Drosophila melanogaster: one gene and its partner. The protein of the gene in region 1 interacts with the protein of each later gene in a pairwise test. Each region holds a gene or a part of one and is shown on either strand. Other genes may lie near its edges.

Evidence for each region. The genes of interacting proteins can lie anywhere in the genome.
Region 2: the proteins of BicC (region 1) and CG11200 interact in a two-hybrid assay, tested with the Drosophila melanogaster proteins (one large-scale study listed by BioGRID).

What each region holds. Positions count from the first base shown.
Region 1 is NT_033779.5:16,038,845-16,049,551, reverse strand, and holds BicC (bicaudal C), read right to left. Parts: upstream 7,506-10,707; 5' UTR 7,025-7,505; intron 6,636-7,024; exon of another isoform or gene 6,478-6,635; 5' UTR 6,466-6,477; coding exon of another isoform or gene 6,331-6,465; 5' UTR 6,307-6,330; intron 5,729-6,306; 5' UTR 5,498-5,728; coding exon 5,191-5,497; intron 5,130-5,190; coding exon 5,080-5,129; intron 5,001-5,079; exon of another isoform or gene 4,765-5,000; coding exon 4,695-4,764; intron 4,632-4,694; coding exon 4,552-4,631; intron 4,487-4,551; coding exon 4,160-4,486; intron 3,712-4,159; coding exon 3,586-3,711; intron 3,526-3,585; coding exon 3,144-3,525; intron 2,951-3,143; coding exon 1,823-2,950; intron 1,595-1,822; coding exon 1,347-1,594; 3' UTR 926-1,346; downstream 1-925. Other genes in the region: CG45084 (uncharacterized protein), read right to left, coding at 6,331-6,465; beat-Ic (beaten path Ic), read right to left, coding at 10,022-10,677. UniProt on the Drosophila melanogaster protein: RNA-binding protein that is involved in oogenesis. Required for correct targeting of the migrating anterior follicle cells and the establishment of anterior-posterior polarity in the oocyte. May act as translational repressor of oskar during oogenesis.
Region 2 is NT_033778.4:20,304,017-20,310,597, forward strand, and holds CG11200 (uncharacterized protein), read right to left. Parts: upstream 4,656-6,581; 5' UTR 4,545-4,655; intron 4,484-4,544; 5' UTR 4,131-4,483; intron 2,621-4,130; 5' UTR 2,580-2,620; coding exon 2,399-2,579; intron 2,336-2,398; coding exon 2,228-2,335; intron 1,452-2,227; coding exon 1,070-1,451; intron 1,013-1,069; coding exon 616-1,012; 3' UTR 501-615; downstream 1-500. Other genes in the region: CG13868 (uncharacterized protein), read right to left, coding at 5,557-5,730, 5,797-6,167, 6,234-6,581.

The sequences.
Region 1 (10,707 bases):
TAAATAAGCATATATTTTAGAAATACTTCTTCCTGTCTGAGTGTACGGAAAAAGTATATGGAAAGTAAATTTAACGTGGTTAATTCAATTTTCAACTTCTTTCGAAAGAAATTTATAAAAATATATATATTTTCCTACTGTTTTTGAAAGGCCGAGGAAACACATACTCAAATTATACTTATGGCCACTTAACTATGTCCTCCCATTACACAACACTTCCTCTACTTAAAATGGGACCAGCATTGACGAATGGAGGCCGAAACTGGCGACTCTCGGGCTGGTCAGTGACTCCACTTGGGATCCAAATTCAAATCCAGCATAATTGTAAATCAAGCCGCTTGCCAAAATGTCCCGCAAAAGCCCACTCGAAGTACTTAAGTGGAGCATAGCCCCATGTAGATGACCACCAGACTGGGACTGAGATGGCTGCAGAAATTAGTTGCCATTGGCAAAGGCACTTTGCGCCCAAAGTGTCATAATCATAAAAATTTGCAATTATGCTGATGCAACACGGTAGCAACCACCGGCAACTGGAGCAAAACATTTCCAGTTCATTAGCTCAGCCACGCCCCTTTTGCCGCCCGTTTAGTTCGTGTAAGGACACACATTCGATTTTGTTGCTTTGCAAGACTTCTTGGCACGAGGCGAGGCAATACAAATTATGCAGACAACTGGAGACAATAAAGTCATTAACCTCTATTCCAACCAGGCTAAAAGAGTTCAAAGCGGCAACGACTTAATGTACATATATTACAAATGTTTCTACAAAATTAAGCAAATCATATTAATCTAATAATCTACTAAAAAATATATTTAGTTGATTTTTCATAGACATCAATTTATTCATATCAAATGTTTGTGCGTGACTATTTTGCTTATCACTTAATACATGCTGTGCTTTTGTTTTTAATTTTTTTTTCTTTTTCAGTTAGTTTACATAAATTCATTTCTTACAACAAGTGATTTCGTTTAGTTAGATTTCATAAATAATTCACAATATTTTTTTTTTTTGCTTAAGACGGTTTCCTATATAAATAATTTCAAAATAAATTAATCGCTTAAAATAAAGGCAACTACGACCTATTGGCACACTGGGAAAACTGTGCACTTTCCCGAGCGCAGCTATGCTACTTGGAATTTGAGTACAAATGCGAGTATAAGTCAAGGTCAAGGCTGTGTTGTGCGGGAAAGCTATTCGCCCAGGGAGTTGCCATTTTCTTCCTGACTTCTTCCTATACTTTTTACCGTTCCGATTCTCTTGATCTTACGACTACCAAATAAATGGGCATGCAAAAAAAAAAAGAAAAAAAGAATTCGAGGCAATGGGGTCGAACGACAGGAGCGGATCACCACTGGTTGGAGGGACGGCGCTCTGCGCCTGGGGCCGCACTTCCGGAGAATCGCGGCGACGAGGAGTTCTGCGAGGAGCTGCTGCTGGGCATTGTGCTGCAGGCCGCCTCGTTGGCCAGCAGCGTGTGAATGGCCGTCAGCAGCTTCTTGCGAGCTCCAAACGCCGCGATACCCAGCTCCATCAGGTTTTCCTCGGTCAGGGTGGTGAACACCTCCAGGTCGATTTCGTTTAGAACGAATATTTCTGAAAGGAGAAATAAAAACTGTAGTTTTCCCAGGTTGTAAATATAAAATAGTTTGATTTTAAATGCTATATGGATGTTGAACTTTATGTAACTTTATCTATGACTGTGAAAAAACGTTTGCGTTAAATAAAACACTCTCCAGTTCAAGCCAGACATATATGATAGCTTTATAAAAGACTTCTAGTACACAGTTGGTAAAAACGGACATGATCGGCGGAGCTACTCACTGATGTAGTGCTCCAGACCCAAACTGGTGAGCAGAGTCTGGATGTCCTTGTGCTTGGCTAGCTGCATCCGTCGGTTGACTGGAGTGGCGTCCAGGAGTCCGGTGGTGGCACTCAGTCCGTAAGGGGAACCCAGTCCTGGTGGCAGCCGCCACCCACTAGATGCTCCTCCACCAGCAGCCCCATTTTCCCCGTTCTCCAGCGGGGCAGGGGCGGGCGAGGTGCTGCTCAAGCCCATTCCCATCCAAGCGGTCGTGGGTGTTCGCAGCTCCCCTGCCACCGGGGTGCGCTCCATGGCTTTGTAGCCCAGGGCCCGTTTCATGTCGAAGTCAAAGGCACGGTGGCCGGAGTGCTTGTTTCCTCCAAGGTCATAGTGCAAACTCCGATAGCTCTCGGCACTGCCGGGCAGGAGGTGGGCTCCTCCGGAGTTACCTCCTCCACCGTTGGAATTACTCAGCCCCAGCAGCACTCCATCGCTAAGGCGTCGTCCCAGACGCGCCCCACCACCACCTCCGCCGCCAACGCCACCACCCTCACTGCCGTAAGTGGAATCTGGCGAATAATGCGCCCGATTTTGGCTTCCCGCGGTGGAGGATGAAGTGGACGACACGGTGCCCGGCAATTGGGCATACGGCGGATACGACTGCTCCAGGGAGGTGGTGCTGCTGCTAAAGCTCTGGTAACCACTGGTATTCTGACTGCAGCTGTTCCGTGGCGAAACAGTCGGCGGTTTGAGAGGCGGCGCCACCGCTCCAGGAACCTGCAGATAGTTGCCATTGTTGCTCTGCCCACCAGCCACCATGGAACGATTCTGAGCCTGTTGGAAGCTGTTGTGCAACTGCATATATTTTTGGGTGGGCGCACACACCCCAGTGGGCGTGGCCAAGCCATTGGCGTTCAACAACAGGTGATTGTTGTTGGCATAGGGCGTCAGTTGGCCAGCCAAGGAGGGCGGCAGCAGCGATGGAGTCTTCGGGCTGTCCACATACCCAGCCAGCAGAGCAGTTAACTGGGTGCGGTAGGCGAGATTAAGGTCTTTGTCCTTTGGCATGAAGTAGTAGTCGGGGATCTCGGGCTTCACGAATGGCGTGGCCAGGCGCAGGATCTCCTGGCGGGCCTCGTAGATTTTGTCTAAGGAGGGTGACAACAACGGATTAATACGGAAATTTAATTCAGCACTTGCTAAATATCTTAAATTGTATAATATATCTAAAAAGTAAGGAAAATATGGGATAAAAATCAAACAATAATGGAAAGTGCAATCGTATATTAATGCAGAATCAACGAAAATCATACACTTTACACATTGCTTTAGAGATCTTACCTATAAACTTCTCCACTCCCTTGACCACAATGGCCAGGGTGCTCTGCCGCTGTTTCTGGCGCAACGTGATGTAGACGCCGTACTTGGTGTTGAGGCTCATTATTTCGGATGCATCGTTGTGGTTGTCCGGAAAGTCAAAAATCAATGCTACGGGCAAATTGCCAAGCAATTGTTGTCGCGCCAAGTAGACGTCGTCGATGCGTCCGCTGATCGTGACCTGGGACTTCTTCAGGGGCTTCACGTTCATGTCGCTCAGATCGGGGAATATGATCTTGGTCTGGGTTCGCTCCATAATGCTCAGCAGATTCACGTTGTTCTTGCCCTTGACGATTTCGTGATGCTGCGGCGAGATCTCCATCTGGACATTCACCAGGATTTGGCTCTAAAAAGGAAAAAGGATTCGCTGATGAGCCTTATTTTGAGTTATCCTTCTCGAACCTACCGCAATACTCTCACAGGCGAAGTTGATCAGCAGCTGCGTGGCATCTCGGACCTGCGCCGATTCCTTCTCGGATCCCTTGACCAAAACCAGCGAGGTATGCAATTTTGGACGCGTGGAGAATATGACCTGAAAGGAGGAAAAATCTTTAAAATATATTCAATAATAATTAAGAGCAACGAAAAAACTGTTTACAAAAATCCTTGGTTGTAATTTAAGGTTGCCAAATTCGAAAATAACGTTTAAGTAACTTTATTACTTTAAATGCGTTCTAAATCACTTAAAAATATATAATAATAACACAACTGCAAAATTAGCCTAATGTAACATCAGTTGATAAAATTATAATGGAGCAATATATAATCACAACTCTCAAGGGTTGGGAAAAAAAAATTTGACATTTTCTATACCCCCTCTTAAATGTATGTATGAATGTATATTACAAAATCTTACCTAAATTAGTTAAACTAATCAAGCCATTATAGTCAAATGCAAATAATATTTGGTAACATGCCATGATTAATTTATAATTAATTTATAATCTTACACTTAGTTGACTCCGACATCTGGAACTCACCTGAACATTGAACTTGGTCTCGATCATCTTGATGTAGGGAGTCTCGTGGTCGGGCTGCGGCTTGTTGGGTCCCATTACGGGCATCTCGAAGGAGATGAGCAGCGGTGTGGAGAGCCGAACGAGAGCCCGGGCTCGCTCCACGCCCTCTAGGCTGCCGCACAGCGACACCTGGTTGGATTTCTCCGTGGGATTGGAGCGATTCGAGTCGGGGAAGTGGATATGGGTATGCGTGTCGTCCATTATGCGCTTGATGTTGTTGCCACCTCGTCCGATGATGTACGAGTGATCCGTGTAGCTGACGTCCATTTTCATGATCACTCGAGTGCCCTGTTCGGAGAAAAATGGGTAACAATTAAAACAGATAAGTTTGTATTATGCTTTGGCTCACTCACCCTGGAGTCAAGACTGCTAAGGATGCGCTCCTTTGCCCGCTGAACCTGATCCACCTTTCCCACAATTCGCACATGGGGATCTTTAAATTATGGGATTTATTTGAAAAATACTCTTGAACATTGAAAATATTTCAATATCCTACCCTTCTTGCTCTTGGCACCAATTTTGAGTCTGCAAGGCCAGCTCACATAAGTATCCGTAGTGTTCATGATCTAGTAAAAGAATATGTTTTGGATATATGGCGAATTCTTTTATATCAAGTCAAAAGAGTCGGTCCTAACAGTATCTTAAAACAAATTGGGTTATACACTGAAATTTTATAGATGCAAAGTCAGATTGCCAAACAAAGACATGAATCAATTAACTTAAAAATTTTGCTCAAAAACTAAATAACTTAATATACTATTGAATAGGAAACATATTATTATATGTTCAATATTTATAAGGCATGGCATTCTGTGTCTCAAAATGAGACAAAAGAAAGTGTGAAGCTAATAGGTGCCCAAAACTTAAAAATATGTACTCACGTCATGGAAAAAATATTCAGCTCCATTCATTCCCTCAATGGAGCTCTCCGCTATCAGAAAAAAGGCAATGTATAATAAGGAATCTATTATTTTTATATATAAAGGCATTACCTTTTATTAACTGTTCCAATTTCTGTCGATCCACCTTGAAACGTTCCGTGTGGAGATCGTCTGGGTTTTGAACGCCCAACTTCATGGCGATGGCGCGTATGTCACTCCAATCGCTATCCACGGAGGAGATCTCGCTCTGCGTCTCGCTGGGGGCTCCACTGCCCACCGAGGTGGTCGATGGAAGGGCGTGAAGACTGGACAGGGATCCAATGGATCCAGCTTCCACCTCCAAGCCCACCATTGGCGGTTTGGCAACATCTGCGGCCGACGGATACATCAGTTTATTGAAAGAGGCACAGGACAACATTGTGGAATTCGGATGATGATGATGATCACTGGATCAGTGGATCGGTCAGTGGATCGAGAAATTCGTCAGAGGTCAACAGGTGTGGGTACCAAAAAGTCGTTTAGTTTTAAAAACCAAGCAAAACGTCCGTCTCAGTTAAGGATTCTGGAAGCCGGTCCGTTGTTTGGTCAGCTTTGTTAGATGATTGCTGCTACTTAATGAAGTAAAGTGTATCTGAATTGATGGGATGAGCTGGTGATGAAAAATGAAAGGTCCGAAATGATGTAACAAGAAAATTGATGTTCGTAATAAGAAGAGAGTGGTTAGAAAGCGAGTCATAGGTAATTTAAAGTGAATATTGAAACACCATATAAAAATTAATTATTTTTATTTTGATAGTCGGTACCATAATTTAAGCAATGCACTTTCCAAAAAAAAAAACGATTTTACCTTTAAATTTAGTTCTCTTTTAATTTTTTGCGGTAAATAGTATTTAACTATCAACTGGAATAAGTACTTTTCACTAACATTAAAAAACTTTCTGTCTTAATTTGAAAATCTGTCTTATAAATTTGTGAGAATAATGCCGCGAAAAGGTGAAATAAAAATTCACTAATTAATATTATTATGGATAACAACATTATTATTGGTTCGCCGCCTGTCGAAAATTCCAAACTTTCTTGTGTGTTCTTTCACATAACCTCTCAAAATGGAGTGCTGCTGCCATGAGGTTCGTACTTTCCCCTTTCTCTCGAGATCCCGAAAACCGTAATTTCACCCGTGTCTTCACTTTCACTTCCTTGTGCCCAAAAACCAATGGCGTAACTTACCGCTGGGAGATCGCTCGGTGATCTCTACTTGAGATTAAATAGGCCCTGGAGGTCCAGACAGATGGCGTGCGAGAGGTCCTGGACGAATTGGATGGCCTCGACGAGGCAGACGTTCATAACAAAATTACGTATTTGTTGAAATCTCTCGACGAAAGGCATTTAAGGTGTGATCTGCGCAATAGAGATCTATATATCAGTATATAGCTGTGTGATTGCGACGGTCTGAGGGGCTTTGTCAGAGTATTGGAAAAATGCAAGTTGGGAAAAATCTCTCTGATTTCTGGGGGACCAGCACTTCTTCTAAGTACGGCTTGAAGGCAACTGAACGCGGCTCTCGATTTCGTCGATCGATTTTGCCCGCTGCTCGACGGCATTTACTTCTAACTGTTGAGCGGATGAATTCCGCAAATCGCTGGCAGGAGAAAATCTGGCGAATATTGTTGTTGCTGGGTCAATGAACCGCTCCCGGAATAAGAGATTCGATTCCATATGTCGAGAGCGAAAAACAAAACAAAGTCGCAGGGAGAGGTGGTGTTCCAGAACTCCAACATAGCTACAACAATTTGCAGAGCAAACGCTTAACAGCGGTTAGAATGTTGCAATGTTAAGTTTGAAATGTTGCCAACCGTTTTCATTCATTTTGGCGCCAGAAAAAACGGTAGAGAAATACGGCACAAAGAGAAACCGACTTTATTCCCGCCAAAAACACGCCACTTACCGTAATGTCAGAAATTCGGATCGTAGCACATACACATAGATATCGCAGGTTAATTTACTTAAACACAATCAATTGTAAAATCTTTTCGACAAATAACACGCTCTTTTCACGTAAAAAAATTGTATATCCGCTTGCTAATTAATTTTGGGCGCAATTAATTTTCCGTCAATTGGTCAAATTAAGGTTCGAATGGGAATTCGGCTGGCAGTCGGTGTATTTTTTCAATGTAACCAAAAAAAATAACCACTATCGAAGTGCGAGTAACAGAAAAACACCACGTGTGTGAAAAACACAAAGGAAAATGCAATGGAGTCTCATGAAAAGCGAAACTGAATTGTTGTCAGAAAATCGTGCACTGCGCGTTAGTTAGTTATATTTGAATATTTTTTAATATTTTATAGCTCTTTTGAATTAATATATTATTAATGGGTTGTGCGCGCCGTGCAGTTGTCGTCATTAAAGCGCGCTGACTATCAAACTAAGCTCGGCATGTGGGTCCCAGTCCCAACTGACCTTCAGATCCAAAAGCTCTGTGTTCTGTGGGGAGTGAAGCCAGTGCACGAACAACCTTAAAAAGCTGCCAGCCAACTGGATAACGGATATTCAGCAATAGCTTTATAACGGGAAACGGAGCTTTTCAAGCTTCTGAAACTCCCCAACCTGCACTTTACCAAAGTATTTATATACAGTGGGTTTTAAAAGTACGCTCACCCTTGTACAACCGGAAATCAAACTTTAAATAAACCAAACTTAAATTACGTAATTAAATGATGACATGTACGAGTAAAAGACGTCAGCAATAGTTATTGAATAGGGGTTACTTTATTTCCTTGCTGCTATTTTACATCACTATTTTGTTTTCTTCAATCTTATTATTACATTTATTCTGGCTTTACACATTTCGGGTTATTTATTGGGGATATGAATATATTATGTGCTATGCATTTGACCGCGTTTTTGATTCTCTTTATAGATCTAAGACTTATCGTTTTTCCTAGCAGCTGGAAACATTCACTGTTTTTTTATCCTACTTTCATATTTCTTGGTTAATACTTTTAATATTTATTCAGTAACATCAAAATGTTTGTCCCATTTTTATGTACATAAAACTAGCTTTTTACATTCTTATACATATGGTTATAGTTTATTATATATATTGGCCATAATTGAAACCATACTGAAATTAAAATTAAAATCCCCTGTCAATGTTTTAATGTAATGGGCATAAATTAGGGAAGACAACTTTCACAACACGATTTGATTACAAAAATCTGGCGGCATGCAGTTTATTATTATATAATTATCTATTTGTATTACTTGTTTTTGCATGTACACCAATTAATTTATATTTCATAAGTTTTATTATTACGTTTTATCATTTTATTTACACTTTAAATATATGTACTGAATTTATAAATTATTCAACATTTATTTTTTATTATTGTTATTTTTTTTTAATATACATTTTCATTTGTTTTTGGGCTACGATTACCCATTGCATACATTGAATTGTGTTTAAGGTAAAGGAACTATTTACCGCTGGATTTTTGTTGGCCAAAAATGTTCAAATAATTCTTTTGCTTTCATCGAGTTTTAATATTGCCGAAACAAGACTTGAAAATAAAGATTCTTTTTCGTTTTAATTTGCTCTATGTATTCGTTGTTTTCTACAAATAAACGCTTGCTATAATAATTAATTTTGCTTTTCATTTCCACAACCGTAAAAAGTTCCTTTCTGTACAGTGGATGTTACAAAATATTAATTTTGTGCTTGGTTTTAAGCTTTTATTTACACATTGACATAATGTCTTCTTCATTCTGAAAGGAGAAAACAAACAAAATAAAGTTATAGTCGATTCTCTCGACTATAAGATACCCGTTACTCAGATGAATACCTTATAATGTTACAAACGATTCCACTAATCTAGAACACTCTTTTACTCTAAAAGTAACGGGTATTAGTATTGACTTAAATTATATTCGGTTGTTTACAATTTTGAAGCTGTCAAAACCCCACTTTAAAATGCACTACGGTACCCGAAAGCTAAGCTCAAGTGCAGTCTAAAGTTCAGCTTGCTGTACACTGTGCACAATTCCTATAACTTTTTGATTTTTTATTTGAATATATTTAACGCTTGATATATAACATAAGAGTTTGAAGTACATAGTATTTATTCTAAGTACATTTTGATTTTCAGTGACTGAGCACACGCATTTTCTCACCCTGTACGTGCCCAGTGCCCAGGCAACTGTGCATTTTTGGTTTGACTTTCCGCATCTCTTAATGTTCTCTTCACTGAGAGCCATTTGTCGTGGCTTATTGTGATCTTTTATTTTTTACAGTAAAGATCTGTTCGAAAGTATCGGGAATAAAAAGTGAAAATACCTTGCTGTAGCATTCATATATGCTTATTGAGTTGATATTATTGTCTGAAAAGTGTGTCTAGCTGAAAATAAAATGTGTTACTATTTTTACAAAATAATAAATATGACAAATAGATATTTAATTTTAACAGTGAACAGAACAGTTTCACATAGTTAATGGAAGTAATGTGATTGATTGGTGATCTGTTTTACAGCACAATATATTTCCGTTTAATTCTGTTGCGAAAATGTGAGTAGGCCGAAAACAGATTTGAGAGATAGCGGCGTACAGGGTATCTTTTTATTTAATGGTTTCACCGTATGTTGTATTTTACCTAAGATTAATTCATTTCCTGTTATTATTCATCGGTTTAATATCTACTTGCTGACTTTGCTCTGCCAATAATTAAATATATACTGCACTTTCCCTGACCTTATGCGTTCAACACTTAAGAGCTACGACCAGATCGATTTATGCAGCTGGCTGATGCAATCAGTATGAGTACGAATGTATATTAATTATGCCCTTCAACAATTCGGGTGCGAAAGGAAAAGAGCCATATACTGGCTATTTTGCACGGTGGCGAGCACCTTAAGCTACTTTCGAAAATGGATTTCATCATCAATTCGGCATCAGCACGCGCTCCAACGCGACTGCATCATCGCATCCATCGCCTGCGATTTCTTTTGCCGCCTTTCTCGCCGCCGAGTCATCAATAATCGTTGATCCGGCCCACTGGCCACGCCCCTTACAGCATTGACGCCCCCCACAAGTGTCGCTGACAGCCGCTTAATGCTGCAACTCGCAACTCCTCCTGCAGCAGCAACATCTGCAGCATCAGCATCGGCAGTTGCTGTCGCTGTTGCCGTTGCATTTGCACTCGTGCTGCCAATATACGCATCACCACCGTCATCATCATCATCACGACTTCGAGTTGGCATCGCCATAGCCATTTGACAATTATAAAAGCATTTGACGCTAGATGCGCTAGATGTTGCCGCTTTTGAAGCTGTCACCTCGATGTTGCTGCTGCTGCCGCTGTTGCGTTGTTGCTGTTGCACCTTGCCAGTCGCCGGCTTAGTGTATTGACAGTTGATAATTTGATGGCCCAGCGGCCCTTGCTGCAGCAGGAAAAAAAGGAGAAGAGCAGCCGCTCCACCGCCCCCACATAGCCAGTGCCACGCCCCCGCCAACTGCCTGTTGATGGGGAGCTTTGTGAGCTGCGATGGCCAGAACTGCCAGAAGATTTCGTGTGCAGCTGTCGAGGCGCCCGATGCCGTGTTATCCGCTGGAAATAGAGAGATGCACAGGTGAGCAT
Region 2 (6,581 bases), on another chromosome or scaffold:
ATGAGATTGTTTTTTTTTTTGCAGCCATCATGTCGTTCGCTTTTAAGCGTTCAGTTCGCTTAAGTGACAGTCGAGTTGTAGTTGCTTCGCAGTTGTTTTTCGAGATGATACACCTACCTACCTGAGTTCCTCCGTCTCCGTACCGCTCTCCTGGAACCCCCATACTCCTGTCCCCTTAACTGAAGTCGATTAAAATTCCTCCAAAATGTTGAATGTTAATCGCTCATTGTTTGAGGAGGCGCACAAAATTAAATTGTTTGCTTTTTCGAAAATTTGACATACAGCAGATATGACGTGGTTGTTGTTGTTGTTGTCACCTTTCAAGCTGCCGCCGCCAACTGCTGAGTGCATTTTCAAATAAATGTTTCTTGCAGCTCTTTTAATTGCATTCCCTAGCCCCACGATGGCAATCAAGCGCAGACAAGTTAATTAAAACCTAGCACAGCAATTTGACCAGATTAGCATCAGCAGATCCTGAACACAAAACACCAGCTGCAGTTCTATATAAAAATGTTTTTATACAAAAGAAATCGATTTACAAAAAAGCTGACGGTATCTAGAAAAGTACGTTGCACCAGTAGGAGGAATGTGAGATAGACTGAGTGTGGAGTTCATTTAGTATTCGCCATTTCCGTACTGCTGGATTTTCAACAGGTCGCAGGAGAACTGGAAAAGCTGCTCGCACTTTGCCGGCTTCTTGGCATCCGGATGGAAAGGACCCTTTCCGCCGTTGGAGAGGTAAGTACCACCCTGACCCTCGATGGAGGGATCAATGGCCGCGAAGACCACCGTGCGGGATCCCCTTTCCGGAGTCTTGAAGAATAGCTTCTTGAAAATGGGCACCGATGTGGTGGCCGAGTGCTCGAACAGATCCGTGTCCACAATGCCCGGATGCACCACATTGACCTGCACGTGCGACTTTTCTGCATCCAGCAGTGTCTGCAGATGGCGGGTGAACAAGATCTGAGCAAGCTTTGACTGACTGTAGGCGGTTCCCGGGTAATAGTGTTTTCTGCAAGCAGTAAAACCTAGTAAATAAGGAACTTAGGCGACAATTACTCAAACGTACGTTCCGTTAATGTCCTTATAGTTGATGCGTCCAATGAGATTCACGCAGGAGCTGACGTTCACGATCCTGGAGTTCCTTCCCTCCTTGCCTGCCGCCCTCAATTGAGGCAGAAGCAGGTGGGTGAGCAGAAAGTGTCCCAGGAAGTTGATGGCAAAGTGCGACTCGTAGCCATCGGCGGTTAGTTTGAAGGGCGCAAACATGATGCCAGCATTGTTCAGCAACAAATCCACTTTTGAATACCGCTCCTTGATGAGCTGAGCAAATGCCTTTACGGATTTCAGATCCCCAACATCCAGTTGCTCGCAGATGAGCTTGCCCTTGGTAGCATTCAAGTCGACTATCGATGCAACTGCGGTTTCGGCAATTTTGGGATCACGAACGCCTGCAATAAATGCATAAATTAAAGTGAGCCACTGACAAAAATTGCTGAGAGGACAGAACTTAATTAATAAATATCCTTTAAAACACTTTTTTATGAGTGTTTTCTAATCTACCCTATTTTACACAAAATATAAGCAATATAAGCGACACCTAGCGCCTGTATAGCGCACTTCAAGCTCTGGTTTTTACATCTATACATTTTACATAAGTTCAATGTAGAAAATAACAGTTGACTGTTAAATGATTAAAATGTTTATTATTTTAACTAGCACTAACAATAAAATTAAATATATTTAAAAAAAAAAATGATTTCTTAATAAATGAATTTTCTTAGAGACTAAAATATGCAGTGAAATTGTAAGTAAACGTATTAAAGCAAGAAATTGGAAAAGCAACAAAAAATGCCATTTTCAAAAATGTTAACGAGAAAATACAAAATAATTATTGATAACTGTGACCCTTTTCATTGAAATTTAGAATTCTTTTCTCCGACCAGTCAATGAACTCTTATCGCTTGTCTTTCCCGAAAATCGAGACTTTTACGCGACTTGGTTAGATAATGAAATCAGGAGAATGGGTCATGATTTCTGTATCGCATTGACAAGGGTGGGAATGGATCTGCATTTCGACGATCGTTTATTCGATGTTCGATTTTAGCTTGCCGAGCACGTGCACTTGCAGCACGGTTAAATGTTTGTGGAATTCATAAGCAGATCGCCGACTTATGGATAGGAATAGGCCTGAAACAAGTTGTTGGGCGGAGATTGGTCAACTCACCCATGACGACAGTCATGTCGCAGGCCAGCAGCTTCTCCACGATCCGCAGTCCGATGCCGCGATTGCCTCCGGTGATGACAGCAATGCGGTCCGGTTGTTTATAAAGTGCTTAATGGATAATGGCAACAATTAGTGATCGTGGAATAAGCATCGGCTAGCAAATTGACTTACCCACTCGATCCCGTGCCTTATACTGGGCATCGTGGACGAGCCCAACGATTCCCAGGTACTGATACCGAAACTCAGTCTTCCACTCGAACCAGGACTTCGGGAACTCCTTGGTGGTCTTCGAAAAGAGGAACGCACACAGCAGCAGGCCGACGAAGAAAATCCACAGCAAAGTTCCCAACATTATACGCTCTTATCGGATCGGATCGCCGTCTCTCCGGAACTCTGCAAAGGGAATACGGGTTTTGATAAGAAATCGGGCAAAGTGCGCCGGCTGATAACGAAAACCGATCCTGGTTCGTCACAGACATTAGCCATTAGCCGGCAACATTATCAATATTGGCGGGTAAATTCGCCTCGAGTGCACTTTGCGAAACTCTTCAACTGAGTCAGCAAGATTTCGCGATCCGAGTGCCAGCGGGTACATCTGTTGGCCATATTCGTTTGGAATTCTAGGTGTGTTGGCCATATATACTTGCCAGAGATTGATTCGTGTCACGATTCAGCTGCGAATAGTCGAGCTTCTACAATTATCATGCCTTTATACTATCAAGTTGGCGTAACAGTAGAGAGTAACTAATCACTTAAAAATGTGGTTTAATTATAAAGCTCGAACTTTTTGTAGAATGATCTTTGCTATCAATTAAAAAGGCTTTTACAAAAGTGCTGTTTTAACGCACTAATCCTAATTCGACAGAGTAACAAGAATGATGTTTGAAATCTCAGAATTTTCACCAGGAAACCCCATTTTTGGGGATAGAAGTCTAATAATTAATAAACTTTTTAATGATATTTATCAGAGAGCGTGTTCTGAAATCGACTTGACCCCATTGGCCGTCGAATAGCTTGAGTTGTTGCCTCTTTCCCTCAGTTTTTTCTTATTTGCCCAGCAATTTCCAGCGTTGGTTAGCCGGGCTTATAAAGCTAACGCGATTGTTTGGCCACCGATATTTGCAGTGCATATTTGCCACCTGCACTTTGAGCGCTGCACTGGAATCTTAATTTTTAATCGGGCGGGGAAACAATTAAATTAATTAGACAGAAGATAGTTGAGCGCGTTTATTGGGAGACAGCGAGAGAACTGGCTTAGGTGTGCTCGTAAAATGCTAATTAAAAACCCAAACAGCGGCGGAATGAAAGTTGAAGAGCCGAGCTTCGAGCCAAAGCCAATAAACGGGGCCAAAATAGTGAATTTGGGGCCAGAGCTGAAAATGACTGAGGCGCTAAACAGCAACAACTAGGGTCGGTTTCTTTGGGCTCTTCTTGCGGGGGCAGCGGGGAAATATCTGTACGGACGACCTAGCATAGTACACTGCGAAAAACTCTTTAGTATTGGTGTAAAATATAAAAATATTTACAAATTGTACTGCGCAGAATGGTTTTCCATTTTAAGAAAGTTAAGGAAATAGAATTATTTTTCTTGAGTGAAGGTTGTTTGAAATTCTCTTAATTGCTTTATCTTTTATAATAGATTGCACTTAAAAGATAAGAACTTCACTACAAATTAGAAATAGGTTTTGTATGAATTTTTCATTTTTCACATAAAGTAATTCCATTTTTTCTGTGTGTACGCATGACACCACGAACGTGCTGTCAAGAGTTTCGACTTCCGTCAACAAAACGCAAAAGCTTAGCAGTTTTACTGTTGTTGCCGCGGTCGTTTTTAATTTGGCTGCATATGGTTAACTTTCTTTTTCTATTGTTGTTGCCCTTGCAGAGGGCTTTTCAATTTTACCTTCAATTTGGCTGACGCAGACGAAAATGCACCTGTGCCTCGATTTCTATGCTAATATTGACACCCTTTTTTTCAATTAAAGGCTGCGGCGGCGCTTCCTCGTCTTTTTGTTTTCTTTCACGTTTTCGAAGAGGATCAATCGCTGGTGTTTGAAAACCGGTTTTTCCAGCGGGCCCTTATTTTCGCCACAACCGCTCGGCGAGAAATTCAAAAGCGAACTGAACGTTAGGTTTTAATTGCGCGCCTTTCCGCCAAGAACTTGATCCACGATTGTTGTTGTTTTGTTTTGGCTTATTGCCGCTGGTCAACAGGTGAATTTTACCCACTTGCCGGCTGATCACGCAGAAAAACAGCTGATATTGTACAATTACGTGGTTATGCAATGGTTAAGCGGGTCGGTCGGCGTGTTGTTACCTTAGTGTGCACTCACAAAAACGCTGATTTGAAACAACTTAATTGAAATAACTGCAGACAAGCGAAAATCCAAGGTGGATATACATCGATGGCACCAGGGCTGCACTTTCTCTGTTTCAAAATATCGATTGTTGATGTAATCATCGATATCTGCCGTCAGTATGCATTTTTCTTTATTTTGTCCTTATTCATTTGTAAATCATAAGAAACCTGAGGTTTTTAAACAAATGTTTTTATTACAGAGAAACAGAGTTTGCGTGTGCAAAAAATACCTAAATGTTGAGCTAAGCTTATTAACAGTAACATGTCTATTCTATGTTAAGCTACTGTTACCAAACTAATCGATATCACTGCCATAAAAATATCGAAATTCAAATTTAAGGCAATAATACACCTTTAATCTTTTCATGTTAGTTAAAGTTCAAGTAAAATTATGTTTTAAGTCTCCCAACAAAATACCTTCTTTCTTTTGCTAGCTGATTTATTTATTGAACCGAAATAGTACAGTGCATTTAAGTGTTTAAACGGAAATATGTTCGTACAACAATTACAATTTATGTTTTGCCTTGATACCAGTTATAACTAATTTTGCCATTATATAGTTGCGCATAAGTATATATATAGTTTGAAATTAGAAGAACCTAAGCGAAACATTGAAGTCTAAACTTTGCGCATTTCTTTTAAATATTTTGAATAAAATTTCGTTTCGCTTTCGATTAAATAATTCAGTTGGGATTACCATATAGAGCGTGTTGTCGTGTTTATAGGTGAATAAATATTTTGAAATATATACTAGACTAAATTGAATATATACTTGAATCGTGTGTGCTGGTGTAAGAGGTGCCTATATGCTACTAAAAAGAATATTACTGTGGAAAGGACAAAGTATTCAAAGTATTCAAATAGGTTCGGAACTCTAAGTTGCAGCTGCGTTGTCAATGTCTTTTATCGCCTGTTCCTCCATCTTCGTTTCCGTTTCCGTAGCAGCGACATCCTTAGGCTCCTTTAACTGTCAATTCTCCACGGACATGTTGCCGATGTCATCGTTTATGGCCAGCACCTGGCTGATGAAGCTCTGGTCGGTGACCACCTCGGCCAGGGATTTGCACAGTTCGGTCAATTCCGGCAGCGGTATCTTCAATTGCGGCGCCAGCCTGCTAAGATGTTGACCCACATAGTCCGGCAGCTGATGGGTGATAATAACTGGGTTAGTAATGGGTAACCATTGGCTATAGCTATCAGTGATCCTTACCTTTCCCTTGCCCACTTTAAACGCGCTGAACATCAGCTTCGTCCGCACTCGCTGCTCATTGGGTCCGTCGTAGAAGATGGTGAGGTAGGCCTCCTGCCCATTGGCCACCAGCGGGAAGTAGATGCCCGCATAGACCTGACCCTTGGCATCGCGGGAGAGTAGCGATCGGAAGTTGTACACCAGATTGCGGCGCACGGTCACGTCGATGGCCGTGATGTACTCTTGGGCCACGTAGATCAGCGATGTCTTGTAGCTGGTATCCTCGCCACGGATCTCGCGCTCCTTCCACTCCACGAATTTCCCATTCTGCTGACTGTAGGCATAGCAATAATCACGCTGCAGATGCGGCTCCTTGGATTGGGTGAACCAGCCTAGAAACATATTGCATCCATCAGTATATATGTATTACAATAGGCTAAGCGGAGATTACAACTCACCAGTGTGCGGATAGCTCTGATCCTGCATAACAGTCACCGCTCGGCTGACATGGTAACCTGGGTCCAGGATCATCACACCCCGTCGATCGCCGATGGCGATGCGCATGGCGACCATGACGTGCTCCTTCTCCACACCCGCGTCCACCGAATTAAGGCCGCACTCCTCGTCCAACTGAACGTAGTCGTTGCAGTCCATCACCTGCTCCTCGCAGGACACAACGTACAAGTAGTTGGCCAGCACCGGGAACATCTGCACCATCCTGGCCATGATTTCGAACGCCAGCGAGACGCACATGTGATGGCGTCTGTTGATGGGCACATCGTAGAACTGAAAGAAGCTACGCAGAT